Caenorhabditis elegans: one gene and its partners. The protein of the gene in region 3 purifies or fractionates together with the protein of the main gene of each other region. This does not show direct contact. Each region holds a gene or a part of one and is shown on either strand. Other genes may lie near its edges. The genes, in order: cytb-5.1, rpb-7, emb-8 and metl-18.

Region 1 (7,244 bases), on a different chromosome or scaffold from region 3:
AACTTCCCGACGTGGCAACTTTTCTTATTCACCAAGAGAACACTCTGTTTGCTGGGCTCGCCAATGGTATTCTCACAGTCTTTGAAAACGCTGGAGAGCGTTGGCCAACCAGTGTCCAAATGTGGCACATGCCACTCAGTTCCTCTCCGTTGACAAACGCTGTTATTCATGACGATACATTGGTTGTAGCAACTGCTTGCAAGTTAATAACCCTCGATGCTCAATCTTTGACGACGCTATCGACCACCCATGTGGCATCGTCTAATGTTGGATCGGGTGTGATTTATTTTGATAAAGTGAGTTCACGTGAAAATATAAATGAGATGAACTCATTGAACTTAAAAAAACACAAAAACTGAAAACCTAATCAAATCAAAAAAGTTTTTATACTCATAATTTCTGTTGCCAGTGTAGTTAAAGGTGGGGTACCGAAATCTGAGAAATATTTTTAATTGACTCCAAATTTTCCCCTGATTCCGAATTTCCTTGATTTTATATTTGAGCTTAAAATCGCGATTTTCATTTGTGCACCCACGAGCTTTTTCAAATGCGTGCCGAAATAAATTATCGTTGGAGCGCGCTTGCTTAATTATTCGGAATCATGGGAAAACTTGGAGTCATTTTAAAATATTTCCCAGATTTCGGTACCCCACTTTTCAAAATATATTCAATAATCGGACCAATGAAAAAAAAATCTATCGCCTTCTCAGATCACCTGTATGACCGAATCACCGTTTGGTATTTTTCTAACTACCAACCACTCAACATTAATTCAACTATGGCATGACACCGCCTGCAATTTGTTGTATGATATTTCTTTCGACCACAAAACACGGTTATTTCAGTTGTCAATAACAATGAATATTGGAAAGTTTTTCAGAAAACCATCACTATCAGACACAGAAAATAGTAACTATGTAGAATCAATGCTGTTTAATGATGAAACGTTATGGTTGGGCACTTCTGATGGATACGTTTTTATTTATAACGTTGAAAATGAAACAGGAAAGGAGGAAGTAAAATATAAGCTGAAAAGGTTTTGATTTTAATTTCAAATTTAAATTTACAGTGTTTTCTTTCAGATTTCCTGGTGAAAAACGGCCGAGTCGGCGTGGATCGTCTGCAAGATCTCAAAGACTCGGTTCTCTTATTGAGAATAATGATGAAAGTGATGATAATGAAACTGTACCAATCTTTTGTGCTGAAAAGCGCGCAAGTCGGGTTAGCATTTCCATAGACAGAGAAACACACCAATATAGCAGTGAGAAATTCTATTGCAAAACATAATTCTGAAACATTATAGTTCCAGTTGCTTCATTCCAACAAAATCCAGAAGATGTAGATTTTCCGGGCAGCACATACAGGTAAAACCATACAAAAAATTAGAAAACACAACTATTTTTCAGCAGATTAAACAGCTCTTCATCGAAAACTTTGAGATCTCCCATGAAAAAGGGATTTAGTGCGGATTCGGCGGTTTCTGTTTTCAGCTCCGAGCCCAATGAGTTAATTGAAAAATGCGATGAAAACTTTCTGTCAGTGAAGAAAGAAAAAGATTCTCCGAGATTCAGGGACAATAGGTTTTTATTCAAAAACTTCTGACCAAATTCATTTTGTAATTGCAGATTCTTCAGTTCAACGAATTCCAGTTGTACTTCAATGGAATATGACGACACTTTTGAGCTATACTCGGATGAAGAACGATCAAGAAGAAGAGTTGCAATAACGTCTCATAAACGATTTGGTTAGTTTGGAATTTAAATATTGAATTCGTATTGACAAGAAATTAAAGCATCCGGCATAGTTTCAGCCACTCCATCAAAACAACTTAATCTTCAGCGGAAAGATTTAACATTTGATGATCCGTACATTGTCCCAGTCCCAGGTACATCTCAATATTTTACCGCACAGTTTAATGATCGCTTTTTGTTTTCAGAAAGTGCTGATAAAGAAACATCGAACGATGTAGAGGACAGTGCAGTGTATGGCCTCATTATAATGTACTATCAATAAGAGAGTAACATGGTTTTTTTTGCAGGGTCTCCAGCGTCAGGTTGTCCTTGTTCATGAAATTGAAAATATCGGAGACTTCCGTCAGAAAGATAATTTCTAGCGGGTGAGCAAAGTTTCAAGAGTTCACACAGTTGGAATGACGCAATTTGTGAACAAAGTTTTTTTTTCAACAATTGTTAAAGCGATTTTTTTACAAAATTGAATTGAGAAATTGAAGCTAAATATTGGGTAATGTTTTTACTAACTTAGTTAATTAGTTAACTAAGTAAGTGTTATAGAAAAATATAAACGACTTCAAGATTTTTTTTCGTTCACGCAACATTCACTCACTTCATGACAAGGAACTTATGGCATATCCAAGAAATTTTTTTCAGCGAGCACCACATTCTTACCTGCTCTGGAGAGTTTGGCGCCGACGAAGCAGTGTTGCTTTGGAGGAAAGATATTTCCACAGTAACTAATTCCAAGTTAGCTAACATAAAAGCTGTTTAATTTCAGAATCTTTGGATCAATGATCCAGTAACCCACGAAGTTCCAAACATACCTCCATCGTCAAAAACGTCCTCTTCAACACCAGCTTCCATTCAATCATTATCATTTCGATCGAAATGAAAACAAAATATTAAAGTCCCTTTTCAGTGTACATATGTTAATCACAGTGATGTATTTATTTTCGATAATAAAATCACAAAATGACATTTATTGGATAACAATGAAAAAAAAATCAGTTTTTTTTAAGTAAGATAATGCCCCAGTTTTCAAAATCATGGCGAAAATAGTGGATCAACAGTGATTACGCAGCGATAAGATAATAAACAAGAGCAACAATGACAGCAAGAAGGGCGAAGTAAACAATGTTGTCGGTTTGCATTGACTCTCTGAAAAAATATTATTATTCTGAGCTGAGATGCAGCGTTTAGTCAAAAGTTAACTTTTAAAATCATTTTTAAAAAAGTTCAAATTCAAAATAAAAGTATAACCCTACTTACCCTCCTCTCTGCTTGTTATCCTGTTCGGTGGTAGACTTCCATTGCTTCTTGTCATACGAGTAGGTTTTTCTCTCAGACTGGAACACAAAACAAATGAATGAAAATTATAAGCAAAAAAGGCAAAAACTTACTGCAACGACTTCTCCGATCAAATACTCGTCCTTCATATGCCTAGCGTCAGTGGAGTGCCCAACATCCTCGAATGCCTCAGTTCCATCACTTCCAGCCTGCTCAAGAAGGACCTCGCAACCTCCCGGATGCTGAAAAAAAAACATTATTAATTTTTAGTTTTGATGCGCCACGTGGTGCCAGCCTGTCCCATTACGGTTTGATCTACAAAAAATTCGGGAATTTTTGCCCCTATTTGTTTTCAAGTATTTCGATATCTTAATCGTCATGGTTTTGATTGTATCAAACAGTAAATTTTGTTTTAACGATAAAATAAGAATACATATTTGAAAGAGACGGTAACGGCTATTTTTGATAAAGTTGATGCTAAAAATTTTTGAGCAAGAAATCCTATCAATTGCAGAGAAAAAATTTAATTCCTTTTCATTTTTCATAGATGTCAATTTCTTTCTATTGATCAACAATGAATCTGCGTTTGTGTTATTCGTACCGTAAAGTGTGGTTTATGTCTGCCTACGTGCTTCGAGTACGGATTTCTAAATATCAGAACATAATCTTACCTCGTCCAAGAACTTGGTCACATCAAACACCTTGTTTCCAATTACAAGCCATGCTGATTTGTTTGTGTTGTGCTCGGCAATTTCCTTAAGGGTGATTTGCTTAAGATCGGCCATTCTGAAAATCATTTCGTGTTATTAAAAAATATATAGATATGAGAAGTATGGCAATAAAAAACATATTAAATTATGTTATTAAAATACAGGCCTGCAATACAAGACAGAAAAGACAGCAGCAATTGTGTCAAGGATGAAGAGAGAAAAATAGCTGACCAAGTTGAAAGGAGAAATAGAGAAACATGGGAAAGAGAGCAGAGAGACAATTTGAACAAACAAATAATAACGGCGGAGAAGAAATGGACGAGAGAATTGGGCAAAAGGAGTAGTGTGCCTGGGAGGGTGGCCTCGCGATGATCAATAGGCAATGAGACTATACTCTAACCTGATGTCATGACAACAGAACATGAGCATAAAGCACATTTTGGGAACACTTTGGAAATGTTAGTTTTGTGATTTCGAAACATGTGTATAATAACCAAAACGTTTAAAAGTAGAGATTCTATGAAAAATGATGAACTTACTTACTTACTTACTTAGTTAGTTAGTTACTTAGTCAATCCGTTCTTCAGGAATTCGGGGGATTCCTGCGGATCACAGACAATTATTCAAGAATTCATATTTTTTGAAAGTTGAATTTAAAAAAAACACCTGCAGTTTTGTTCGGTTTGTAGTGGTTTCAGACTGTTGACTAGTCGATTCAAATTGTCATACTTCATTATTGTCAAAAAAACGTTGTGTCAGAGTGTCCCATTCCGGTTTGATCTACGCAGATCTACAAGAATTGCGGGAATTTAGAAACAGACTTCTCAAGTGATTTCACAAAGTTGCTGACGTCGCATTTTATTGGGAAACAATTTCCCGCTTTTTTGTAGATCAAACCGCGATGGGAAAGCATGACACCACGTGAAAAAGAGTCCTTATTTTAATTCTAAAAACGTAAAGCTAACATCTCAATATTTTGAAAGACGTTGCTTCAAATAGAAAGAAACAAATTAGTCGAAAAAAACGTACATTTATATTTCTACTAAAAACTGTATAATAAACGAATCATCTCAAAACAACTGTTTATATCAGAATCTTAAAAATAAATTTAAAAAAAAAGCTTCAATTTTCAAATTTAGTGGAAGTGTTTAAAAAGGCAAATAGAAAAAATAAATCCAACTCTATAAGTAACGGTAGTTTTAATGTTTTAGTTTTTACTTAATTTAAAGCTGAAAAATAAAACTATCTACTTGTTGATTTCACAAATAGTTGCGTCTATTCATTCCAACTTTGGAGAGAAACAGAAATTGGGATGACCTGGATAGAACAAGAAAAGGGGAAGGTGCATGAGATGAAGGGCGAGATGTGACCGCCAAGGGATTAATGTACGCAGGCTACGCAGGCAACGTGGATCCGTTCCTATCGATCGATATGCAACGAAATGAAAATAAGTCTAGGGCTGCGTAGCCTTTTATACCAGTTGCTATACGCTCTCGCACCAGACCAAAGTAGGTTCGCCAGTATGGTCAAATGGGGCTAGAGAATGCTAGAGAAGAGAATCTATGGTTTGTAGTCTTCGGAACACACGTAGTCAAAGTAAATTTTCAAGAGAGAAAAAGAGTAGGAGAGTGATCAAAGGTGGTTGTGTATTTGATAAGGAAAGATTGTACAGATTGAATTTAACGTTGAGGAGAAAATAGACAAAGTAGTTTGTTGGTCATATTGACTACATGTTAAATTCATTTTCAATTTTGGAGGAAATGTGAGTAATACGACGAAACATTATTTTGCAAAATGGAACGTATCGTCGAAAATTTTTGAGTTGAAAATCTAAAGAAACATTTTATTTGAAACTATTCAAAGTTGGCTATTGCTCTTAAAGAACAATTTTTCCACAGTGTAACGTCTTTAAAAAACATACCTTATAGGCGGAGTACCGATATCTGGGAAATATTTTTGAATGGCTCCAAATGTTCCCCTGATTTCGTATTTGGGCTTAAAATCGCAATTTTCATTTGCGTCCCCATGAGCTTTTTCAAATTTGCGCCAAAATAAATTATCCTTGGAGCGCTTTTGCCTCATTTAATTTTCTCCTTATATTTTTACTTTCTTTTTCAGTTTTTCAGCTATTTTCGTTCATTTTTTGATAATAAAGTGTTCAATTCGCAGGAAAGAATATATTTTTCAAAACAAATGAACGAAAATAGCTGAAAACTAATTAAAAATATGCATAAAATTAAATGAGGCAAACGCGCTCCAAGGATAATTTATTTCGGCGCGGATTTGAAAAAGCTGATGGGGACGAAAAAGAAGTCGCGATTTCAAGCTCAAATATAAAATCAGCGAAATTTTTTTGAATTTTTTCATTTAGATATTCGGAATTAGGGAAAATTTGGAGTAATTTAAAAAAATTTCCCAAATTTCGGTACTCCACCTTTAATAATGTAACAACATGCGTTAAAACTATTGTTATCTCAAATATTCATTCCACTTTTTTGTATTTCCAAAAAGTTCCGAGCAAAAGAGCTTTTTCGTAATCTTATTTTCTCTATGGAATCTGAAATTAGTTTGTCTTTTTTGTAATTATTCATATATACTCACAGAAATGTGCTCACAGAATTTCAAAAAAAAAACCAACTAGATTCATTCAATAAATCAATATTTTATTAATAAAATCCGGGTATTACGTGGCGAGTGGGCGGGGGTGCGACAATCGAAAAATTTCAGTGACAATGGTGGAAGGGAAATCATGAGATATGAGAAATCATTGTTGTGATGGGGAAATCGTATACATAGTATGAACACAAGTTGCAAAATGGCAAATAAAGCAGCGAAAAGAAAGAATTATGGAATGTTTTTTTTTGATTTGTGTGTCTACTTCTTGAACGCTGCATAGTCCAATTCCCAACTTTTTGGGAGTTCCGAGGAGTTGTTACCAGCACCCGCTTTTTTGAAAAGATCTTGTTCCCAGGTGCTCATATATTTTCTCTTCTGGAACAGCAAGTCGCTCAGGGCATGATACTGAAATTTCCGACTTTCATTTGTAAGGTTTCAAAATGTATTCTTACTTTGGCATTTTCACGAGAAGCGCACTTCACCAGATGGCACATTTTCTTCGTGTCAAAGCTTAGACGGAGATTTCTCTCACACAAGTTTCTGCGTTGATCTTTCAGGAACTTTGCCTTTCCCAGCCAATCCGACAAGAACATGCAAGCATCGCTTGTGTAGCCAATGTATGCAACACGGTAGTCGTACTCGGTCCTTCTGAAAAAAAAATTTGGTAAGTGGGGCAGCCTCTCCTATGGTGCCAAAATGACCAAACATCTAAATAAAACTTTTTTTCAAAAAATGTTTGCAAACTTATAATATCAGAAGTATGTATCAATTTAAACACTTACTCCTTTGGTTGAGGCATTGAATTCACATGACCGATCATCTTGTTGACTGTTGACAAAATTTCATTTATGTCGCTCGCAATTGTGTGATCGATTTCGTTGAGCATGCTGAATGGATC
Region 2 (7,435 bases), on a different chromosome or scaffold from region 3:
AAAAAAATTTTTACGAATTAAAAACTCCTGCGCGGTCCTGAAAAGAAAAACATATTTTCCATGAAAAATATTAAATTTGTCTTAAAAACTAAATTTTCTCTGGATTTTTCGATGATTTCCTATAAAAATACACCCTTTTTCCACTGAAAATCCCTTTTTTTCGCTCGAAAATAATTTTTTTGCAAAATTCAGTACCTGACGAATATTCATCTGGCGGATCTCGCTGAACATCGCAACATCGGGAAGGAACTTCATCTGAAATGGGATTATGCGAGTTTTAAGTCCAATTAAAGAATATAAATGAGGAGAATATAAAAAAAAAGATATTAAAAATGGTAAAAAACCAAGTTTTAAGTTCCAAAAAGCAAGTAAAACCAATAAAATGAGATCCTTTAAGGTTTAAACGTAACAGATGGATTTTAAAAAAAGTAAAAATTAAAATATTGTGAAATAACGTGGTGATAGATAAATTATGATACAGCGAATCGTTGAAAACCAGATCATTCCGCTTGGCACAGTCCGAGAAAATCGTCCATCAAGGTTCCGATGGCAAAAATGTCGTTAGCATCGACACGTGTTCCGATGAGCTTCACACGGATCTCATCATCATTCCGAATCACATTCGCCTCATCATTGGTCTTGTAGCACGGTTTCTCACTGTTCGGATCGAATTCCATGTCTGGTGGAATACAATGACGACTGATGAAGCATGAAAGTGGTCCGATATCACAGAAAATGCCGACTTTATTGACCTGTGTGACGACTCCATCGACGACTTGTCCTTTGAACGGGCGGAACACGATGGCCTTGTAACGGACCGGGTAGATGACGAATCCACGGCCAGGCTGGATCAGGCCGTGGCCGATCGTGTCGATTGTGGTGACTGCGATGACGAATCCGTACTTTCCTGTGCACGTTCCCTCGACTTCGTTGAACAGCTTCATTTTGATGGTTTCGTTCAGGTTTGGACCGAAATATTTCGGATGGAGGCAGACTTCATGGTCGAGTGACAAGTGGAAGAACATCTGAAAGTTCTTAAATTTGTATTTAAAAGAGGAAATCGTAACGGTTCTGGGTTTTTTAGTGATTTTTTTTGGTTTAAAACTCAAATTTCTATCGATTTTTGCATGTAAACTCTGTGTTTCAAGCATAAAAATCGTTTTTTAAAATTTAATTTTTACTATTAAAACAGGAGTAATTTTTAACGTTGAAGATCCAAAATGTGCTCAAATGGACGAATTTCGTAATGAAATTTCTCAAAATTCCGAAAAACCCGGCTAAGTTCACTTGTTCAGTAAGCCCGTTCAGAATATACCCAGATTTAAACCAAATTAAAACCGTACAAGCCTATATTGTGAATTTATCTGCACAAATTTGGTTTGGATCTACACAAACCTACACAAATTCAGTTTACATCTACTCAAACTTGCAATCTATGCAAATTATGTTTGAATCTAGACAATCTTGGTTTACATCTGCCCAAAATTAGAATTTTTCATAATATAGGCTTGTACGGTTTAAATCTGGGTATATTCTGAACGGGTTTACTGAGTGGAATAGCGAAATTTGGCCACTTTTCCGCGTCGCGGCGATGGAAAGTTCACTTTTTTTTAAATTATCATCCTTTATTGCTTAAAAACGTGAGATAATCGATCAAATTATGCAAAAAGAGATGAAAATTCCAAAAAAGTCCACTTCCAATCGCTGCGACATGGAAAGTAGCCAGAATTGGAGATTTTACCCGACATAAAAAATGTTCGAGCACTCTTTAAGAATTTTTATTGCAAAATTCGCTTATTTGAGCATATTTCGGTCTTATACATTCAAAATACCTAGAATCTTTACTCCTAAAAGTTAAAAACCCCCTTAGAGAAATTTTATGCACGAATTCTGGATTTTACACACAAAAAATCGATTTCTGATCAAGTATTTATTGCGTAAAACAAGAAAATTGAGTTTTAAAACCAAAAAAAAACAATTAAAAACGAAAAAATCCACCAAAATCTATTCGAAAAATAAATAAATTTCGTACACGAAGCGTAAGCGCACCAGTTGCGTGCCAACGAGACGAAGAATGCGCCAGCAGGCGTCCTTGGCGCATATCTCGTTTTTCTTTTATTTTGCCAACTCCGCTCGGTTTTTCCTCTTTAAAATCGAATATTTCACATATGTACACACTTTCGGCGGGTATCTGGGAGAAATTCTTCAAGAAAAAAGACTATTATGTGGTGATAGTCGGTCTGGATAATGCTGGAAAAACTGTAAGTCTCTTGAATTTGAGATCTCACCGATTAATATCAGAAATTATCGATTTCAGACGTTTCTGGAGCAAACAAAATCTCACTTTGTAAAGGACTACGGGGTTCTGAATCCATCAAAAATCACGGCGACAGTTGGTTTGAATAGTAAGCCTCTAAAATGAATTAAAAATCAAAAAATTTTTTTTTTCAATTTTCAGCTGGAAATGTCGAGCTCAACAACACATGTCTTCATTTCTGGGATCTCGGAGGCCAGGAGAGTTTACGAGAACTCTGGGCGACATATTACGACGATGCAAATGCCATGATTTTTGTTGTGGACGCAACAAGGAGCGATCTCTTCCCAATAGTAGCATCTCAGTTTAGTAAGTAGTTTGAAATTGAAATAAATCAAATTTATACCAGAAATAATAATAATAATACGAATATTTCAGAAGAAGTAATGGCCAACGAAATAGTTCAAAATATTCCAGTTTTAGTAGCGGTGAATAAAAGTGAAATGGAAGGAGCCGCCGCTGCCGCTGAGGTCAGATTTTTCTCAAAAATCGAAAAAAAAAACCGAAATTCCTGCATTAAAATCATATTTTCCAGGTCCGAATGCTGCTCGAAGACGACAATCACCGCTCGGACCTTGCAGTTCTTCCGGTTTCGGCGCTAGAAGGAACAAATATCGAAAGATGTGTTCACTGGATCGTCCGATCGTTGGCTAGCCAGCCATTATACCTTTAACCTCTCGGGTAGCTGTATATAATAATTATAATCTATTGCATACTGACATGAATAGAAGAATCCTGTGATGATTTCCTAACCTCACTGCAACTTTTTTGAATGAGGGACGAGGAAATACGGTTTCTAGGCCACGGCCGGGGATCCGACAAGATTTAGCGGCAATTTATTTTGCTTTGTTTTCCGCGTTTTTTCTTTGGTTTTTCACCGATTTTTCTCCCGTTTTTTTCTTATTAACACTGATGAATAAATATTTTTTGCAGATGCTAGAACAATTTCCAACTGAAAAATTGTGTAGCGATGGATTACGGGAATACTAAACCTAAACTTTTTCCGAATCATGAAATATATGCTGCTTAGAGGCTGAAACTACCTGATTTTCATAACGAGACCGCTGAAAAAGTTTTGAGATTTTTAAAATTCAACTTTTTTGGTGAAAAAGTCGATATTTTCGCACAAAATGTTGAATTTTAAAAATCTCAAAACTTTTTTTCAGCGGTCTCGTTATGAAAATCAAGTAGTTTCAGCATCTAAGCAGTATATATATCATGTTTCGGAAAAAGTTTAGGTTTGGTATGCCTGTAATCCATCATATTACATTGATCATTTTCACCGCTTCTTGCCGATTGTTCTAGCATCTGCGAAAAAATATTTATCCATCAGTTTTAATAGGAAAAACGGGAAAAAAAACTGTGAAAAACAAAAAAAAAAACAAGCGGAAAACAAAGCAAGATAAATTGCCGCTAAATCTTGTCGGATCCTCGGCCATGGCCTAGAAACCGCATTTCCTCGTCCCTCGTTTAAGAAAAGTTGCAGTGAACCCCTTCCCCTCTACCATGTTTTAATACGGTTTCGGCTGATCTGACTTATTACACAAAAAAATGATATTAGTATTTAAGTATTAAATATTTTTGTTTATATCGTGCAATAAAAATTCTTTTTTTAATTGATTATTTACAAAATTTCAGAAAACGAAAGCTTGTGAGTTATGAGATTAAATAGGAATTGGCACCGCGTGGATGGTTAAAGAGATCGGGAAAAATAAAACGCTACTCCAGAAATAATTCGAGTTCGAGAATTGAAAAATATTTTAAAAATTTGAAAAAGTGGAAGAAAAATCAATAAATCGATAATAACTGTTGAAATTAAAAGATCGATTCGTGAAAAGAGGCAGAGCGTAATTTTGCAATCCTGCGGCACGGTTTTGCTGATTTTTTCTATAAAATTTCGATTTGAATTCTCTTTTTTTTTTAATAAAAAGACTATCCAATTTAGTTTTTATTTAAAAAAAAAGAGAATAAAACGGGCGTCAAAATAGGTGGAAAAACCGTGCCGCAAGGTTGCGAAATTACGCTCCGCCTTTTTTTCTGTGCACGGCTATCGATCGTTGACTTCCAACAGTACACCAAGAATTATCTAAACTGGAGTAAGTGTATGAATTGGATCTAAAAGAGAACTATCGATAATTTGTGTGGGATCAGCGGCGAGAGAAGTCGCCGAATTTCGGCGTTGTTGAGGAGTTATTGCCCATCGGAAGCGTTCGTAAAGTGTGCCGGTACCGCTGAGCAGGTAGATTATTGCGAAGACAGGAATTGCGAGGACTGAGAGAAGTCTCAGGAACCAACCTGGAAATATTGGATTTAAAACTAATTGCTTTGAATTCTCATGCAAAACTTATATTTTTCACGTGGTGCCAGGCTGTCCCATCACGGTTTGATCTACAAAAAATGCGGCATTTTTTTCCCCAAAAAATGTGACGTCAGCACGTTCTTAACCGTGCAAAATCAGTTGAGAAGTCTGCGTCTCTTCTCCCGCATTTTTATAGATCAACGTAGATCAAACCGAAATAAGACACTCTGACACCACATGATTTTTTCATGATAGCGCAAAAAATTTCCTCTGGTTACGGTAGATTTAAAGGCGCATAGCTAACAAATATCTTTCGTTGCGAGGCCATAGCTTAAAAAATTTTTGAATTAAAAAAAAACATCAATTTTGTCTTTTATTTTAGTTTTTTCAAGAAAAATATTTCTTGCGCGTGGGGGACTGGCGAAAAAGAGTCTCGACACGAGCATTTTTTGTTTTCTGAAAAGGTGTGTGCCTTTGAAGTGTACTGTTGTTTCAAACTCTATTACGGAAACACAAAAATCTGAGAATGCGTATTTCGCAACATATTTGACGCGAAAAATATCTCGTAGCGAAAACCACGGCCCGGCGAAAGAGACGTGGCCGCGAGAGCTGCGCCGGCTAGGCCACCGCCTCCTATGGTTAAGATTTTTGAACGAATAAACATTTTTAATTTGGCTGCTAAGCTCATTTATCTTTGTTTTTTCTCGTTTTTTCTCATTTTTATCGATAAAAATATATTTTTTGTTGCAGAAAATCACAAAACCGCGGCAAAACAGCACTCAACCGCCAACTGGGAGGAGGAAAATCCGAAAAAAGAGTTTTTTCCATCTAGTGAAAAAATCCTATAGAATTTTATATTAAAAATGCCTTCATAGCATTTGTCTTGATGCCAGCTTTCGAAAAAGTACAAGAAAACAAACTTTCATGTCGAAAAAATCGAGAAAAATTGAAAAATGTGAAAAAAATGCACTACGGAGATTTTCGTGTCTGGAAAATCCCAACATTCCTATAGAATTTCGATATTTTTTTGACGTTTTTGCGTTTTACTGGACGAGATCTTTTTAAAAACACCAAAAAATCGAGGCCCCATGTTCAAAAAGTGAACTTTTTTAAAAAGAAAATTTCAATAGTACTGAAATTAAAAAAAAATTTTTTTTCGAAAAACTGTATAGAATTTCGATATTTTTTTGACATTTTCACGTACTACTGGACGAGATCTTTCTAAAAAGACCAAAAAATCGAGGCTCCATGTTCAAAAAGTGAACTTTTTTTAAAAAGAAAATTTCAATAGTACTGAAATTTAAAAAAATTTTTTTTCGAAAAACTGTATAGAATTTCGTTTTTTTTTTGACGTTTTTGCGTTTTACTGGACGAGATCTTTTTAAAAACACCAAAAAATCGAGGCCCCATGTTCAAAAAGTGAACTTTTTTTAAAAAGAAAATTTCAATAGTACTGAAATTTTTAAAAAATTTTTTTCGAAAAACTGTATAGATTTTCGATATTTTTTTGACATTTTCACGTTCTACTGGACGAGATCTTTCTAAAAAGACCAAAAATCGATAGTCTATGATCAAAAAGTAAACTTTTTTTCGAAAAGAAAATTTCATATCAAATTCGAAATCAAATTTGTCACGAAGCTGACGTTGGACCTTTCATTAAAAAATTTTTCCAGGATTTTATACTCCGATTATTCGTCTTTTGGATACGTGATGGCTGATGTTTGGAATCGTTTATCGACTCATCGTTCAACAGGAAGCGCCTAAAAACGGCATAAATCGCTGCTGGAATGCAATTAACCTTGGTACTTTTCGATTCATTATCCAGGTAACAGTGGATGGCAATACTTCAGTATGAAGCAAGTGTACAATATTCATAATATGGTTAGTTTCCAATAAGATAATTGTAACTTAAAAAATCAGAATTTTTTTAGAATCAACCCTATTGCGAATGGATCGCGCTGCCACCGCCGCTGCCACATAAAGATGCCCGAATAGAACTCGTATAAGCCCCGATTTGGACTGACAGTTACACCACCTATGGCAGAAGTCCACGATGTTTATGGAATCTAACAAACTCCTAATGAAATTTCCAAAAAATTGCGTCAAGATAACTGGACAAGAAGAAAAGCTAAAAGGAAATAATCTCTCTTATCGCAATTTCTAACTGATCACTTACGGATTAGGTCTTTTTGCAATCTTTTAAATTTTTATTGAATATCTTTTACATTTTTATTAAGTATTAACATTGTTATTTTAATATATTAATAAACGAATTTCAATAATAACACGCGTTTTTCAATAATCAAATGTGGTATTATACGATTTAGGGAATTTCAGGGCTCTAAAACTCGAAAAAATTGGCCAAAATCGAGAAACGTTGCGAAAAACTGTTTAAAGTATCGATTTTCTTCAATATCAGCAACATACAATCCTTTAAAATGATTATTTTTTGTAAATTCGATAAAAATTCATTTATTTTTCACAACTTCTGCCCGAAAATTACCGAAATAACCAGCGTTTCTATAACTAAGAAAGTGTCGTCAATTAAAATGCCGCGTCCGCAAAATGTCGTACGAAACTTTTCGCTGAGTATCAAACGTTGAATATTCAGTCAGCCAAATTTTACTACGGTAGAGATTTTACAGCCACGTACGGTTCGCCGGGCCGTGAAAACTACAGTAATTCCTTAAATGACTATTTACTGTGTTGCTTGTGTCGATTTACGGGCGCGATTTATCGATGGAATATTTAAATTAGGCAAAAAATGAGAAAATAATACGAAAAAACGGAATATCGCTGTCATTATTCGAAAATAAATTTAT
Region 3 (8,954 bases):
TTTTTTACTTTAAAATTGTGAACTTCAGCATGATTTCAATTAAAGTGTTATTTTTCGGAGAAGCATGTCAGCTGGTCGGAAAAAGAGAAGAAGCGGTGGGCTTTTATTATTAGACGGAAACAATTTGGATAATTTTGAACTTTTAGATTGATTTTCCCGAAGAGACCGATTATGAAGAGATTCGGAAAACAATTTTAGAAGTAATAATTTACAGATTTCAAATTAAAAAATTGAATATTTCAGAATTACCCAGCTCTTCAAAAAATTGAAAAGGTTATGATGCTCGCAGTGGATCAGGAGTGAGTTTTCAGAAAATTGAGGTGCAACCGCGCTCTACGGCCAAATGGAAAAGCTCCGCCCCCAAAAGTTAGGTCTCGTTAGGTATTGGCAGCAAAACTGTTAATTGAAATGTTTTCAATAGCTTTTCATCATTTTTGTTATGTTTCGCGTTGTTTTTAAAGAAAGCTTTCGGAAGTGTCGTTGCCAATACCTAACGAGACCCAACTTTTGGCCGTCGCACATCTCTGCGTCTTTATAATATGTCGTTTACAGATATGCCAACCCCGGAGATCGTTTCGAATTGGTTCGCTTCACAGAAATCGCTGTAATTCCTCCATTGTCTGGTGGATAATCTTATTGTGATAATTCTTGTAGACTCTGTTTATTTCAATGAAAATTTGTGATATATTTGACAAAAAAAAACTAGAAAAGTGGGTTAGTGGGCGACAAAGGGTGCAAAATAGGGAAGAGAGGCGAAGTTTATACCCGAATTTCGAATGATTTTTTTTCTCTGTTTTGGGTTGAAAAGAGCTGGGCGATTGGGTGGGAGGTTATCACAGAAAAATGGGAAAAGGGGGAAATGCAATATTTTGTCTAAATCACAGAAAAATTACTGAAAAATTTTAAAAAAACTGAACAAAAATGAAATTTGAAAATTATGACCACACATCAGCTTGGTATCTTTTTGTCTTCTCCATATCTTTGAAGTAGGCGACAGCTTCCGTTTCAGATTTTCCTCCGATTTCTCTGAAAATCTTCTGAAGTGTTGCCTGAACGTCACGAGCCATGTTGCGGGCGTCTCCACAAATGTAGACGTGAGCTCCAACGTTAATAGCATCCCAGATACGATCACGAGTCTCCCACAAGCGATCTTGCACGTAGATCTAAAAATATCTTATTTAAAAGTCAATGAAACACGGTATCCTACCTTATGTTCCTGAGCTCTGGAGAAAGCGCAAACCAAGTGTGTGAGCACTTCGTCTTCTTGGAACTTTGCCAACTCATCTTTGTAGATGTAATCATGATCTGGATGACGGCATCCATAATACAAATGCATTGCTCCGATTTCCTTTCCGGCATTTTTGTGGAATTGACGATCTTGGAGGAATCCACGGAATGGAGCGAATCCTGTTCCGGGACCAATCATAATGACTTGAGTTGTGGTACGGTGGGGAAGACGCATTGTTGATTTACGAACGAAAACTGGAGATTTCGATCCGGCGTCCTGAAATTATTTGGATTTTTTTTTGGAAAAAGAAAGTGTGATAGTGAGAGTTTTTTGAGTGAGAGTACAGTGAGAGTTTTTTGAAATTTTGTTTTAAAAAATACAAAAATGAACCGTGATGGCCAAATATAACTGTTTAAAAATGTAATAAATTTTTCTAAATTTTTTTGAAATGGTTTTTCAATTTTGCAAATTGAAAAAAGAGATAATTATTTTTGAATTCCCGCGCAAATGCATCGTCCGGTTATGACATTTTTCTTAAAGTAAACTTGTATACATTTAAGATTTTTTTGCGAAAAAATGTCTGAAAATTTTACAAACTGTGCTTTAAATTGAAATTAGCCAGAAAATGCAAAAATGCCAAAACAGGGTGATTCATTTGCTAGGGAATTCGAAAATAGCTATTTTTCTTATTTGCAAAATTGATAAAATTATGAAAAAATTTGAAAAAGTTATATTCGATCATTACGGTTCATTTTCTATCATGTGCAAAAAAATTTACCTTGGTGGTCAAATATCTTGTACAAACTCCATTGATATCACGATCACCAATAGAATATTTAGTGACAACTGCACAAATTGCAATCTTTTCCTCATTTAATCTCGGAGATGAAGCAATACTGTAGTAACGGGCTTGAAGACGTGGAAGAAGTTCAAGAAGATACTCAATTGGTGGTTTACATGTCTTTTGATCAGTCAATACATCGACAATTGAACGACGCTCTTTGACAATGTATCTGGCGTACTCTTTCTGAAAAAAATTCAATTACTTCAAAATTAAAATTTAAAAAAACTCACCAAGCCCTCCTCATTGGCAGTTGATAACTTATTAAGGAATTCCTTTTCAGTATCATCCGTACAATATTCACTGATTGCTTTGAGCACATGAGATTTGACTGGAGCACAAATATCAACATAATGAGAAAGAGCAGTTCGGAATGTGGTTGGGCATGGGAATGGATGACGTTTTGATGCATCTTCATCAACGTTCACAAGACGGAATGCGTGATCAGGATCGAATTGAAGCATATTAATGAGACGATCAACAAGAACTGGATCATTTGTTGGGAAGACAGCCAGATGATCTCCTGCTTCATAACGAATACGGGATCCTTCAACAGAGAACTCAATATGTCTACAACTACGATCAGAATGTTCGGTATGAAGTTCATCATTGATCGCAACAGTAGCCAAATATGGATTTTTGACATCAAATGGTGGACGTGGACGTTCATAAGCTCCAAGTCGTCCAAATTCTCCCTTGAAAAGAGCTTTTCCTTCTTCAACTGGTTCCAATTGATATTGTCTCATTGTCTCGGCCTCTGTGTTCAACTCCCATCCAAATTCTTCAGCAACTTTTGGCAAGAAAGCTTCTCTCCAAATCATAAAATCTTCTTCAAGATTAGCATCATCATCTCCTAATCCCAAATGAAAGATTCTCTTGGCTCCAAGTTTTTCAAGTTGTTTGTCCATTTGAATTCCAATCTCATTAAAATGTTCATAAGTCTTATTTCCAAGTCCAAAAACTGCAAATCGAACACCCGACAGATCACAGTCTCCAGCATTCAAATATTCAACAAGTGTCACTGCATTATCAGTTGGATCTCCTTCTCCATATGTGGCAATGCATAGTACCAAAAGAGCATCCTCAACTTCACTCAAACGATTCAAATCTTCACATTCAATATCTTCTGGATCAACGACAACAGCCTTCTTGGTGTAACGAGTAAGATCTTTAGCAAGACGTCCAGACATTTCTTCAGCTGTTCCAGTTTGAGATCCGTACATGATAAGCACCTGAAATTAGAGAATTTTGATTCTATTTTCTTTAAAATTCCATATCAATTTACCTGTCGGTTCTCATTTTTCATTCGATCAATGAATGATTGATTCGATTTCGAAGCCGCAGCTGACGTGGTGACCGATGCTACGGTTGGCGAGTATCTGAAATTTTAATTTCAAATGTAAAAAAAATAATTTTCTGCATTTATTTTTAAAGTACCTGCTAGACGATGGTTGCTGATTGAAAACCTTCATGAAAAGGAATATAATTGCTCCACCAGCGAGCAGAGTGAGCACCACAAGGTCTGATGTGTCGAGACCCGACACAATCCACGCCAGCATGTTTAGAATGAGAGTTTCTGAAATTAAAGAATTATTTGAAAAGGAAGAGGGAGATATTGAAAAAGTAAATAAATAAGAAGTTATAGTTTAAACATGTTTTAAAATATTGCCGCTGAATTTTGCGATGTTTGCGCCGAGAAAATGACAAGTTTTTGTTAAATGCGCGTGCGCCTTTAAAAAGTACTGTAATTTCAAACTTTCGTTAATGTTGAATTTTAATTGATTTTCCATAGTTTTTTAAGTTTAATTTTATGTGATTTTTATTGTTTTCATGCATTTCTTTATTTTTTCAATAAATAAATAGTTTTTAAACAAAAATGTGTTTTTTTTCTGTTTTCAGGTGATTTCAGGTACTTAGAAAAATCCCGAATCAAACGAAAACAGAGGAAAACTCTGAAAAATTGATTGAAATGGCGCAGAAACGTTAGTTCGAAACTACAGTACACTTTGAAGGTGCACACCTTTTTGTATTTATCAAAAATTTGGCGTGTTGAGACTGGGTCCAGTGTTTTTGGCGCAAAAACCACAAGTTTGTCGCACTAAAATATATGTATTTTGAGAAATATCTGAATTTCTATCATATAACTGTAATAAATAATTTTTTACAAAAACAATTTCAACTAAAAACTTAATTTGAGATACGATTATCGTATAGCAAATTCAGTGAGTCTTTTTTCAAAAAAAAATGTACAGTCAATTTGTGTGAATGAATGGGAACATTAGACATATTGTTCTGTCTGTCCCCTTAATTTGGTCTTACAGTTAAAGAAAAAGAAGAAAAAACAAAAGCTACAGAAGAAAAATCGAATTAAGGGAGGGAGGTATATTGAAATAAACAAAGATACGCCGTGAGGAAAAGTTATTAGTGAAAAGAAAGTTGTATTTGCCAAGAAGGTGAGTATTTTATAGAAGCAGATAGTCAGAGAGTTTGCATCATTTTTTGAGGTTTGTGATCGACACACATAAAATATGATTTGGTGGTCGAAGAAAGATACTTCGAGAACACAAAATTTGTCAGACTTTGTATTGACACGTAGACTAGAGTACTGTTTAGCCAAAATTATCTTCTGAAAACAAAACTTCTAAAAACTATGTAATCTTAAAAAATTTCAGACATTTTGCAAGTACAGTAGGAAAATGCTTAAACAAAACTAAAACAAGGAGTCAGGAAAAATTGAAACAAAAAAAAACTGCGGCACAATATCTGATATAACCCAAGTAATTTTACGGCACAAATACAGTACCCAAGGTCTCGACACGACGAATGTTTGTTAAATATGAAAACACGTGCGCCGTTAAGGAGTACTGTAATTTCAAATTTTAGTTGTTGTTGAATTTTCATAATTTTCATCTCGCTATGTTGAAATTTGAGTTTTTAAAATAAATATATCTATTTTTTATCGAAAAACTTCGAAAAATTGTGGGAAATTCCGCAACAATGAAAATTTGAAGATACAGTACTCTTTCAAGGAGCACGACTTTCTACATTTTACAAAATTTGTTGTGTCGAGACCGGGAGCAATATTTCTGAAAATTAAATATTACTTGGTCACAAAAGAGAGTCAACTTTTGTAATAGAAATAAAATAAAATTGGTTATTTCCACTATTACAAGACTTTCAGAAATAATTAGTCGCCAAACGATTGTTTCAGTCAAAAATAATTTCCTAATTTGAATTAAACGTCAATTCAAGTCATGCGATGAAATAAATGACTGGTGAATAACTGTTGAAATTCAAAGATTGTCTGGTTAGGTTTAATCATTGATAAGAATTGAATTGAGAATTAGAGAAGAAAAGAAATTGCGAATTTTGTTTTTAAGTTGATAAGTCAAATAGATATGGACTGATTACACCGTCAAGCATTTTCTGTAGTTTATGTCACTTTTATCACATTTTGACAAAATTGGATGTTGTGTACGAAAACCACACGCAAAGTACGGTTTTATCAAACGAAAATGCGTTTTCTACAAAATTTGAAGTTCAAATGGAAAATCATAATTGTTTGCACGTAGTTTTCAATCAAAATATATCGTCACACTTGAGTTAAAAATTGAATTAGGCCCGATACAATGAACGGTCAGTCATCGAAGTCGACGTACATAGGGGCGCAGACAACACACACATTGAAGACGTGGAGGATTTCATTTTTTCCGGTTTTAATACAAGGAAGAGAATAAGAAAGGCAACAGGTGCCACTTTTAATTGGAAATCAAAAGGTTATGCGGAAGTCTGAAGAAAATCGAAAAATGTTTGATTTAAAAAAAACATCTCAGAGCATGATTGTAGAGCATAGAGTTGGTTGCCTAGGTTTCCATCTCAAAGAATAGGCTGTGATTGCAGGTGACCTGGCTACAGTGTACCCTTTATATTATCAAGAAGGATATCTCGGGGTTTTATTTTTTCTATGTTTGATGTCAGAGAAAGAATATCGAAAACATTATAGCGTCCTCATTAACGAAATTATCGGGAGGGTTTTTTTTTGATAAATGGAGAAGCGACATTTGGATAATTTGTTATATTATACTCGAAATAGTCCCAAAAGTTTCGAAAAAATTTTTTTTGTGAATTTCTGTATATGTGAAAAAAATCTATGAAATGTCACGAGATGAATGACAAAAAATTGCAAAATAAATATGAAAATAACCGAATATTTAAGTAATAATTTGCGACCGCTGCGACACGGAAAAGTTGGGAAAACTGGAAATTATTGCTGAAATCAGGTTTTTTTTTCGAAACTTTTGAACAGCCATGAAACTTTTGAGAATTCTTTGAAAAGTTTCGTGAAATTTGGATTTTAAGGGCATTTAGGGTATAATGAAGCAAAACAATTTTGATCGAAACAAATAAATTTAAAGAGACGAAGTTCAGGGGAAACATCTATAAATCGTGGAAAGAGAAGAAAACGAATATCCATTAATAAAAGTAGGTCAAATTGAACATCGAAAAGAAGAAACAGAGAGAGAGAGAGAGAGAGATCGTCTAGAATAAATCAACTACAAATGAAATCTTTCTTTTAAGCAATTCAAGCCTTAACAGTCACATTAACTATACACGAAGTTCCCCTAATACGACTATGATAGAGATAGAGAGAGAGAGAGAGGAAACAATTGAGAGGGAGTAACAGCCCACAAAAATCGCTTGTTCTTTTCTTCTTTCTCTTTCTTGTCTCTCTCTCTCTTCTCGTTCTGTTTCTCTACCTATCTCTCTTCAGTTCATGTGTTATCTATAATTGTTTTTCTCGTGAACAACTACCTCTATTGGCTACACTTGATCTCAAAGTGTGGTCTATGTTCTAGCCATTTTTGTACGTGTAGTTTTTGAAACCGATAGAAATGTGGAAAACAATTATGGCGAGTTTTGTTGGGGGAAACCGAAATTTCTATTTGAACAAAAACTTTTTGAAGATTCAAGACGTGGAATAGAACAAAAATGTCTAATTTATGTATCAAATTTGCAAGAAGATCGTGCAAAATACTCGAAATTCGGCGTTGTTCTCGAAGAGTCTTCCCCGATTCTCAAAAGATCGGTATCGGAAAATAAGTCGAATGATTTGAAGAAAAGATAAATTCGGTCTATTTCCATGAATATTATGCATGTGAAAAGAAAAATCGGGTTTTTATACGATTTTTTGAACTTGTACAAGATTTTGTTGGTGAAAATCGGATTAAAACATCGAACTAGAAACATTCAACCGAAAATGATTAATTTTGAATTAAATTTGTGATCATCGTCTAGAAAATTCTAAAAGTTAAAAAAGAGAACTAAACTACAAACCACGGATCAAAATGACTGTGTTCTGCTTGTGGTTTATGCTTACAAACACGTAGAGAAAAAATACAAATATTTTCAAAGTGATGGAGGCAACAAAGATAACAGTATGTTTTGATCATACGGAAGTAAAAATAGAAGATCAACAGATTCTTCACTGTAATTTCTGAAAATTGGTGTTTCAGCCTTAATTTGACTACTGGAAGTTCGAATTGAAATACATAGATGGATATATTTCTTTGCAGAAAAAACAACTCGATTGAAAAAAATTCATATTCTTACAAAAAAAAACATTCATACGTTCTTACTGAAGAGACAAAAAAAAAAAAGTAACCCATAATTGAAAAGAGAATTAGAAGAACGATAATAAATAAATGGGGTCGGGAAATGAGGTCGGGAACGATAATAAATAAATGAGGTCGGGAACGATAATAAATAAATGAGGTAAAAACGATAATGAAAAAAGAGAAAGCTAAAAATCTCTGAAAAGATTATAAATGAACATGCTATAATTGTACAAGTACGTCCTTCTGGGAAAACAGGGCGAGCTGGAATATTATTTTTTCTTTCCTTTGATTTGGTGCTCAATATTTTTCAGTTTCTCCTCGACAGTTCCAGAAGCAGGCTGAAATTTCAAAAGTTTCAACGATAAAAAAAAGATAAATAAAGCTTACAATCTTGAAATTATGTGTCGGGTTCCTCTTGAGATGATCAAGAACTGATCCAATCTGACGCATAATAGCTTGCTGTGCGTCTACGATTCTCTGATTGTTTTTGAAGTTTCGTCGTGAGGTTTGCTCCACAATGTTCGTCGGGTCAAAGTCTCGTTGACCGTTCTTTGGAAGAGGTTGTTCTCCATGAGCGGTCAGAAACTGGTTGAGCATTTCTTCTAGCCATTTCTCCCGAGTCATTTTCTGAAAAATATACACAGATTTTGTGATGCAAATATTTGAAAAAACTCACAGGTGCTCTCACAACAGCCTTTCCTTTGACTTTTGACTTTTTTGGCGCAGTAGCGTATCTTTCTTCGTTCTCAGAGTCTGAGTCATCATCTGATTGATCTCTTCTATTTCTTCTCGAAACTCTTTCAATTGGTCTTTTAGCACGTTGGCGCGGTGCTCTGATCGTCAGTGCCTCTTGCGACTCATCCGATTCTTCTCCCATAATCATATCCAATTGTGAACTTGGCGCAGTTCCAGCTCTACGAGAAATTTCGGAAACTGCGGGTGAGATTGCTCTTCCAGTACTGTGCCTGCGTTGGACTTCTGCGATATGACTGTCATGCGCATTGTTTGGAATGGGTTCCATCTTGACAGATGTTGTTGAGAATGATTCTCCCAATCTGTGACCACCAGTGGATGAATGAATTCTTTCGTGACTTTCTATCTTCGCGACGTTCAATAGACGAGACGAAGAAGAACAGGATGATGCCGAGCGAATAGAATTTTGAGAGTCGGACGATGATGGTGCTGAATTAGTCAACCGTTTCTGTGGTAGGATATGATCATATTTTTCCGGTAGTTTACTGAAGTCGTTATCTTCGGCGACAATGGTGCG
Region 4 (8,234 bases), 1.8 Mb from region 3:
CACTGGAAGACGGCAAAAAAACGAATTTAAGAAATTTTTAAAAATTTTGAGAAAAAAAAACGCAAAAATATTCAATTTTTCACAATTTTAGCTAAATTTGACTGAAAATCTTTTAAAATTCAGATTTTAAATCAAATTTTAATTTAAATTTTTCAGAGAGACATTTGCCAAGGAGCTGGAGACAATGGGCTCGGCCTTAGAGGTCAAAGAAACGGCCTACAACGAGTTGAAGGCTTCAGCCGAGAAGAAAATCGCCAAGCTAACCTCTCAATTTGAAGAAAAACTGAAAAAGGCTCAAAATTCTCAGGATGAAGCTTCAGAGTCTCGATTTAAAACACTTGAAGCCTCGGCGGAGCAAGCGAAGCTAGAATCGGAGCAGAAGCTTAGAGCACTGGAAGAATTGCTGAAAAGCTCGGAGTCTGAAATTGAAGAGCTCAAGATTAAGGAAATTTCAGCAGAGAAGGACAGAAGCCACTGGGAAGTTGAAAAAGAAATGTTAGAAGGAGAAGCAAAAGAGCTCACGGACAGAATTGAAGGACTTGAAGCTGAAGTGAAGAAGCTAACGGCAGCGAATGAGACGAAAGCAGTGAAAGCAGATACAGATGCAAGGAAGGTTGTACGAGAACTTCAGAAAGAAGTCAAGCAGTTGTACAATGAGTTGAATGATAAAAATCAGCAATTTGATATGGTTCAAGAGGAGTTAACACGACTGAAAACTTCAAAAGAAACTGCTGAAAATGGGCAATTACAAGTACAGAAACAGATGGATGAAGAGGATAGAAGAAGCGAGTTTTCGGTAATAAATTGGGAGAAAATGGAGGAAATTTGGATGAAAATCGTCAAAAATGAACTAAAAACCGCTAGAAATTCGAATTTTTGGCTAAAAAAACTGGAAAAAAATGGCTGAAAATTGTTTTGAAAATTGGTAAAACAACTGAAAAAGAGCAATTTTCAGCTCAAAATTTTGAATTTTCCGTTAAAAATCGTGTGTAAAACCTCAAAAAATGTATTTTTCTAATGCTTCCAATTAAAAATAGCTAGAATTTTGGAAAATAGAGTCATCGAGTTTTGGCAGAAAAGCTGTCGATTTTCAGAAATTTCTGCCTGTTTAATGGAAATTTTCTCGTTTTTTTTAAACGAATATTCGAGCGTAAATTCAAGTTTCTCGGACATAAATTTCAGCAAAAATCGAGTTTATGCTTCGAATTTAACATTAAAAAATTTTTTTTTAAATATTTTTGTCATTTTTCCAACACTGACTGAAAATCTCAAAAAAAATCGAGAAATTTTCAATTTTCGAGCACTAAATCCCTAAAAAAGCCCCATTTTTTGCAGTTCAAAGAAGAAATTGCCTCGTTAAAACAAAAGCTTGACGCCTCACTAACCGAAGCAGATGATCTACGAATGCAAGTCTCACGGAACGAGAAGACGCCACGATCCAATGGAAATGCTTCAACTGGCAGAACGAAATCTATGGAATTACACGGAATTGCTGATCCGGCAGAAGCTGAATATCTACGAAATGTACTATATCGATACATGACTAATCGAGAATCTCTTGGAAAAGAATCTGTGGTAAGGGGAAATTGAATTTTTGAATTTTTGGGTGAAAAATCATGATTTTCATGCAATTTTACACTGAAATTTTTCCGAAAAATTGCCAATAATTGGGCGGAGCTTAATCTAGAAAAAAAGTAAAAAAAACCAATAAATGGGCGGAGCTACTTCTAAAATTTTTGAAAAATTGCCAATAAATGGGCGGAGAATTTAAAATTAATTTAATTTAAAAAGAAAATTTAAAATTTTCAAAAAATAAAATTAAGTCAATTTTTTTGAAATGTTTAGTTTAAGCTCCGCCCATTTCTTGGCTCATCTCGTAAAATTTGAACTAATTTTTCTAAATTTTTGCAGACATTGGCCCGTGTAATTGGAACTGTGGCCCGATTCGACGAGTCTCAAATGAAAAATGTGATAAGCAGTGAAGAATCAAGGCAGGCAAGCTGGGCGGCAGCTGTTGGTGGAACTGTTAGCCATGCGTTGAATCGATAATTCGAAACTCTAATTTTTGCTCAATTTTCTCTCATTTTTCATGTTTTTTTGTGTGTGAAACTGACTAATTTTCTCTCAGAATGTGATAGCCAAGAAATGGGCGGAGCTTACGATTTTTGTCGAAAATTTTTGGATTTTTTTTTCAATATTTTCTATGGAAAAAACCGAAAATTGAATTTTTTGAACCGATTTTTTGAAAAATTATTTTTAAAAAATTTTCTGCGATAATCGCAATATTAGTTTTTTCTTCAAAAAAAATTCAAAAAAACTAATTTTTAAATTTTCCACAAAAAAAAAAAATTTCTAAAAATTGGAATTTTTCGAATTGTCTATCAAAAAAAACGCTCGTAAATCGACACTGAGAGAAAATTAGCCAATTACAGGCAAAATTACGTCTTCTTTTAGATTAACCCCCGTAATTAGAGTTTTTTTTTCAATATTTTTCAAATTAACAAAATTCTTTTTTTTGGATATACCCCCTACCGGTTATTAGATTTTTGAAAACAATATCCCCCGATTTTTTTCTAATTTTTTTAAAAATAATTTTTTTTTTCGTAGAAATTCTGTTTCCTCTATATTGTTCTGCTTTATCCTCCCAACGACTGTGATTAATCGCCGAAAAATTTTTAGATTTTTATTTCAATTTTTTTTCGAACAATTTATTGTGTATATATACGAGAAATATATATGTAATAAAATTTTTTAATTTATTTCGAAAAAAAAAATTATTTTTATTTTTTCAAACTTGCGTTAGATTTTTACCAATTTTGATATTTTATCGGGTTAAAAAATTTTTTTTCAGATTTTTTGAAAAATAGTTGATATTTTTCGGGAAATTTCCAGATTAAAAAAAATCATATTTTTCAAAAAAAAAAAGATCAAATTTTTTGGAAAATTTCAGAATTTTTTAAAAACTTCCGGGTTTTTTGAAACATTTCCAGATATTCCAAAATTTTTAAAAAATCAAGTTTTTCGAAAAATTCCAGATTTTTTCAGAATGAACGTGCTGAAGCTCACCAATGGCCGAGAAATCTCCTACTTGAACGAAGTGGAAATTCGAATGGGAATTGATGAGCTTAATGGAGAAGAAAGATACAAAAAAGAGCTGGAAAATATGGAAACGTCCGATATTACAGTTCACAAATATGAGGGTGGATTTAAGGTGCTGATTGTGACGTGAATTTTAGAAAAAAAACGACATTTTTGACTGAAAATTGGAGTTTTTTTAATTAAAAAAAATTATTTGGGAAAGTGAAAAAAAAATGGAAATAACTTGAACAAACATAAGAAAATTTTAAAAAATCGAAAAAAAATCGATAAAATATTGTTTTAAAAAATTTGAAAAAATTAGATTTTTTCTGCATTTTAAATTTTTTGAGTCTCCTTTTTTCTGGAATTTTTAAAAATAATTTTGAGAATTTTTCAGAAATTTTTGTGAAATTATCCGATAAACTAGGTCCTATTTTTCGTGTTTTTCACTGATTCTAATTGAAATTTGAATTTTTTTTCCCAAAATTTTAAAAAATTCAAAATAAATATATATTTGGATTTTCTGCGAATTTTATATTTAGAAATTCAAATTTTCAGAAAAAATGTTTTTTTGAATTCTATTTGCGATTTTTTTTTAATTTGAAGCGTTCGAAATCTAGTGGCATAAAAATTTTGAGAATAGCGTTTTTTTTCAATTTTCTTTCAGAAAAAAATTTGAGAAAAAAATTGAAATTTTGAAATTAAATCCAATTTTGCAAAAAAAAAAAAAATTCTTCTAATATAAAAATTTAATGTTTTTTTTTAAATTTAATTTTTACTTAATAAATAAATTTGCAGATCTGGGAATGCACCGTCGATCTTTGCGACTATATCGAAGAAAATCAAACGCTTTTCGCCGGAAAATCAGTTCTAGAGCTCGGCTGTGGAGCAGCTCTTCCATCAATTCTCACGGCGGTACACGGAGCTAAGGAAGTTTTCGCTCAGGACTTTGTAAGTCTACGAGATGAGTTAAAACAAAAAATTAATCTAAAACATTGCAGAACGCGTCAGTCATCGAGTTCTTCACACTTCCAAACTTCGAAGAAAATCCGCATTCAGCAGTTGTTCAAGGAGAAGCAATGGGATGGGAAGAGGTTCCGAATCGATTGAGCGGAAGAAAGTAAGCAGCAAAAAGACATCAGCCCAATGCGGGGCTCGAACCCGCGACAACCAGATTAAGAGTCTGGTGCTCTACCGACTGAGCTAACCGGGCGGCGATGTAGACTCGTCTTGGTGGACGTTTTGTATAGCGCCCGGCTGGAGACGGGGGGGGGGGGGGGCCTAAGACGCAGAACTTTATGTTATATTCCATTTACCAGATTCGACTTCATTCTCTCATCGGAAACCATTTACAACGAAGATGACTATCAAGCTCTCCACGATGCGGTCGCTGCAACAATCAAGGATGACGGAGTCGCGTAAGATCGTTTGTGTCGATTTACGCAGCAGCTCGTGTATTCCTCGAGGAGAAGAGAGTTTTTTTTTTAAAGCTTGAGACCGTTTTTTTTCTGTACTTAACATGATATTTGGCAATTTTGCTAGACAAAAATCGCAGAAAATCGATTTTGATCACGAAAAGTGAACGTTTTTTGTTGGTTTTTGTATACAAACAACCTTTTTTGTCGAAAAATTTTTTTAAAAATTAGAAAAAATTTTTAAAATGTTGAATTAGCTTTAACGCTTCTTCCCCTTTTTTTAATATCAAAAAGTTCTGAGATTTTTTACCATAAACTTTTTTTCGCGGCGAGACCCATTCTTAAGAATTTCTTAGCGTTTTTAAGTATAATTTTCGATAAAAATAGTTTAAATAAAAATTTTTTTAAAAATCTATGTTTTCTGCCCAAAAAATTGTTTTTTTTAATATTCCGATTAAAATAAATTTCATTTTTCTTTGGTTAAAAAATCGTGTCGAAAAATATAAAAAATATTGAATTTCCTTGAAAATGAGTCTCTTTTCATTGAAAAAACCCACACAGAATACGAATTTTTGCCGAAAACTTCTCCTCGAGGACTACACGAGCTGCGTAAATCGACACATGGAAGAGATTCAAACTCTTCCATTTTCAAGCCCTTCAATTTCAGATGGTTCGCCGCGAAATTCTTCTACTTTGGCGTCGGCGGAAGTGTTCCAGCATTCTGCGAATTTATCAATCAACGCGGAATTCTTCAAGCTTCTGAGGCAAAAGTGATCGCCGCTTCAGTGCCCAGACGGATTGTGGAGATTCGGAAAAAATGATTTGAATTTTTTCGTCTTTTTGTTGTGTTTTTTATTTGTTAAGTTGTTCAAGAATTGTCCTTTTTCAATAAAAACTGTTTCATTTCAAGAAAAAAAATCAGTCGTAAAATGCACACCTACCCGCCATTAGTTTGTAAGTAGAGAGAATAATGAGAAAAATGGGAAAAATGGAACGTTTTGTACTGACAATTTAAGCAGCAACACGTGGTGTCAGAGTGTCTCATTTCGGCTTGATCTACGTCGATCTACAAAAAATGCGGGAGACGAGACGCAGAGTTCTGCACTGATGCTGTATGGTTAAGAACGTGATGGCGTCACTTTTTTTAGGCAGAAAAAAACTCCCGCATTTTTTGTAGATCAAACCGTAATGGGACATCCTGACACCACGTGCGCAAAAAGGGGCTAAAATGACTAGAACTCCTGATGACCGTATCGATCCACTGGCCACATACATTGACAAGAGATTGGAGCATCTGGAATTGTAAATGGATGCCAATGAATTGAACCAACACTACGACGAGACACGTGTACCTAAAAGAAATTAGGAATTGAGTGTGTGTGAAAAACACTATATTTTACGCGCAATTTTTGTGGAAATTTTTGGGGAACCCAGAAAAACACTAAAGTTTACAGAAAAATGTATTGGGAAAAAGGATTTTTCAAGTAGACAGTGCGTACTGCGCAACATATTTGACGCGCAAAATATCTCGTAGCGAAAACTACAGTAATTCTTTTAATTACTACTGTAGTGCTTGTGTCGGTTTACGGGCTTTCGAAATGAATTTTTTTCGAATACTGACATCGATATTCTATTTTCCCTCATTTTTTCGTATTAATTTCTATTTTTGCACAATTTTCATATTTTATCGATAAATAAAAAATTTGAACTCATTTCGAAAAACAAGCTCGTAAATCGTCACAAGCACTACCGTAGCCATTCAAAGGATTACTGTAGTTTTCGTTACGAGACATTTTGCGCGTCAAATATGTTGAGCAATACGCATTCTCTGAATTTAGTGTTCCCGTAATAAAACAATTTGCGGGCTTCTTGCATCATATTTTACGCGCAAAATTTTTTGAAATACATGGCCACGCTCTCCTCAAGTGTTCATAATTATTAGAGCGCGCTCGAGCGGCACCTCACGAACTCCAGAATTCGCGGGAATTCGTTTTTCCATAGAAGCCAAAAATAGCCAAAAACTGCTGTCCCGGCGAAACGAATTCCCGCGAATTCTGGAGTTCGTGAGGTACCGCACGAGTGCGCTCTAATAATTATGAACACTTGAGGAGAGCGTGCGTGGGAATTTGAAACTACTCACAAAATATGTTTAATTATTTACTTTTTGCTCAAATAATTAACAAAAATGTTTTTTTTTCAAATTGTCTTCCGAAAAATCACAGTTTTCTCTGTGATTGCACAATTTTTTATTACTAAAAATTTGAAAAAAAAATCACATTTTTCCAGAATTTGCCCGTAAAACATGGTGCATTGAGTGTGCTCACACAATGCGTCACACCTTACGCGCAAGAGTCCATCTACAGCATTTTCGCTGCGAGACCCAAGAACTCACATCTGCATACTGCTGCACACAACGTAACATTCCCTTGAAACACGTCTGTTCTTGACCAGACAGTAGACTTCCAATCGGTGATTGACTATTTAGGCAACGGACTTCCACAACAAACGGAGGGTCAAATTCGTGACTGGAAAAATTGGAAACTTGAAGGTCCCGGTGAAAGTGCGCTCTATTGAGACAATCATAATTATCTCAATGGGGCGCGTCTTTAATATAAGACGGTACAAACTTTTCAGTTTTAGGATCTCTATTTCAGCTGATTGGTTTAGAAATTCTTGAAAAAATAGATAAACGGGTGAAAATTATCGATTTCTAAAAAATCGATACTCACCTCTGTGTATTCAATTCGACTATTTTCCGCTGACTTTCACATAATTCTTCGTTTTTCTCTCGCCGATTCTAAAAATATCGATTGATTTTTCTTTGCAAAAAAAGTCACTCTAGCACACCTTTTTGTGATGATGATGATGACGTCTATGATAGGTTACTGTAGGTGGAGTGGTCAATGTACTTGGTATTGATTTTTCCGATCGAATTCTCGAGGCCAAGTCACTGTCGTCGTCGGATTTTTGAGTTACCATTGACATCTCATACAGCTCGTCTGTCTCGTTCATTACTGATGGCTGAACAATGTTTTTTTGTGAATTTGCGCGTAAAATATGGTGTATTGTTTTAGTGTATGCAAGAAAAATTGTGCTAAAAATTTGAATTTTATTCCCACTAAATTTCAGATGCCTCACTCAATGCGCCATATTTGACGGGCAAAAAACAGCCCCTCTCCACAATTTTTGTTCAAGATCACTAGTTTGTGGGTTTTCTTTCAATTTTTGTCTTCTTTTGACTTGTCATCGATAAATCTCATTTCAAAAGACCTCCTGCTGTGGGCGAAAAGGACAAAAACGACAGAAGTATGAGAGGGATGTTTGTATAAGAAAAACGATGGAATTCCTCGATTAATCGGATTCCCCTTTTTAGATTATGCAAATATCAATCAAAAAAGTTTAGAGGGTGTTAAATTTGACAAGATGCGCGTCAAATATGATGCCTATTCTGTAAACACTAAAGTCGATGCACCATGTTCGAAGAAGTCGCATTTTACGCGCAAAATGATAGATCACATATTTATTATCAAGTTTCAACTAAGATTTCGACAAAAAAACTTGGAAAAAGTTGGAAAAAATCAATTAAAAACATGGGTAATTATCGATTTTACTTAATTTTCAGAAAAACTCAATAAAATTGTTTTTCCGATTTTAAAAATCAATAAACCACGTGGAAAATTATCGTTGTTACAGAAAAATTACAAACTAATTGATGAACCAGGTGCACAATTATAGATTTTT

Evidence for each region.
Region 1: the proteins of emb-8 (region 3) and cytb-5.1 fractionate together in Caenorhabditis elegans (co-fractionation; one large-scale study listed by BioGRID). This does not show direct contact.
Region 2: the proteins of emb-8 (region 3) and rpb-7 fractionate together in Caenorhabditis elegans (co-fractionation; one large-scale study listed by BioGRID). This does not show direct contact.
Region 4: the proteins of emb-8 (region 3) and metl-18 fractionate together in Caenorhabditis elegans (co-fractionation; one large-scale study listed by BioGRID). This does not show direct contact.

What each region holds. Positions count from the first base shown.
Region 1 is NC_003284.9:13,998,486-14,005,729, reverse strand, and holds cytb-5.1 (Cytochrome b5), read right to left. Parts: upstream 3,807-7,244; 5' UTR 3,806-3,806; coding exon 3,692-3,805; intron 3,263-3,691; coding exon 3,134-3,262; intron 3,080-3,133; coding exon 3,003-3,079; intron 2,892-3,002; coding exon 2,807-2,891; 3' UTR 2,650-2,806; downstream 1-2,649. Other genes in the region: tbc-19 (TBC1 domain family member 2B), read left to right, coding at 1-296, 711-835, 881-1,036, 1,083-1,261, 1,310-1,364, 1,407-1,580, 1,626-1,744, 1,811-1,885 and 4 more; C31E10.6 (CCDC93 N-terminal domain-containing protein), read right to left, coding at 6,605-6,751, 6,799-6,994, 7,129-7,244.
Region 2 is NC_003279.8:3,030,838-3,038,272, forward strand, and holds rpb-7 (DNA-directed RNA polymerase II subunit RPB7), read right to left. Parts: upstream 2,102-7,435; coding exon 2,033-2,101; intron 1,026-2,032; coding exon 501-1,025; downstream 1-500. Other genes in the region: sec-11 (Signal peptidase complex catalytic subunit SEC11), read right to left, coding at 196-255; Y54E10BR.2 (ADP-ribosylation factor-related protein 1), read left to right, coding at 2,169-2,261, 2,318-2,405, 2,459-2,623, 2,693-2,784, 2,850-2,987; mod-5 (Transporter), read right to left, coding at 4,401-4,609.
Region 3 is NC_003281.10:5,196,033-5,204,986, forward strand, and holds emb-8 (NADPH--cytochrome P450 reductase), read right to left. Parts: upstream 3,646-8,954; 5' UTR 3,629-3,645; coding exon 3,507-3,628; intron 3,449-3,506; coding exon 3,355-3,448; intron 3,302-3,354; coding exon 2,303-3,301; intron 2,256-2,302; coding exon 2,007-2,255; intron 1,505-2,006; coding exon 1,208-1,504; intron 1,164-1,207; coding exon 936-1,163; 3' UTR 648-935; downstream 1-647. Other genes in the region: moc-6 (Molybdopterin synthase sulfur carrier subunit), read left to right, coding at 30-95, 147-200, 244-299, 553-631; ATPase morc-1, read right to left, coding at 7,954-8,022, 8,072-8,311, 8,361-8,954.
Region 4 is NC_003281.10:3,422,695-3,430,928, forward strand, and holds metl-18 (protein-histidine N-methyltransferase), read left to right. Parts: upstream 1-3,043; 5' UTR 3,044-3,046; coding exon 3,047-3,211; intron 3,212-3,876; coding exon 3,877-4,029; intron 4,030-4,079; coding exon 4,080-4,198; intron 4,199-4,204; exon of another isoform or gene 4,205-4,298; intron 4,299-4,397; coding exon 4,398-4,496; intron 4,497-5,160; coding exon 5,161-5,314; 3' UTR 5,315-5,400; downstream 5,401-8,234. Other genes in the region: golg-4 (GRIP domain-containing protein), read left to right, coding at 157-796, 1,336-1,575, 1,912-2,049; K01A11.1 (Spaetzle domain-containing protein), read right to left, coding at 5,726-5,845, 6,886-7,018, 7,223-7,290, 7,341-7,514.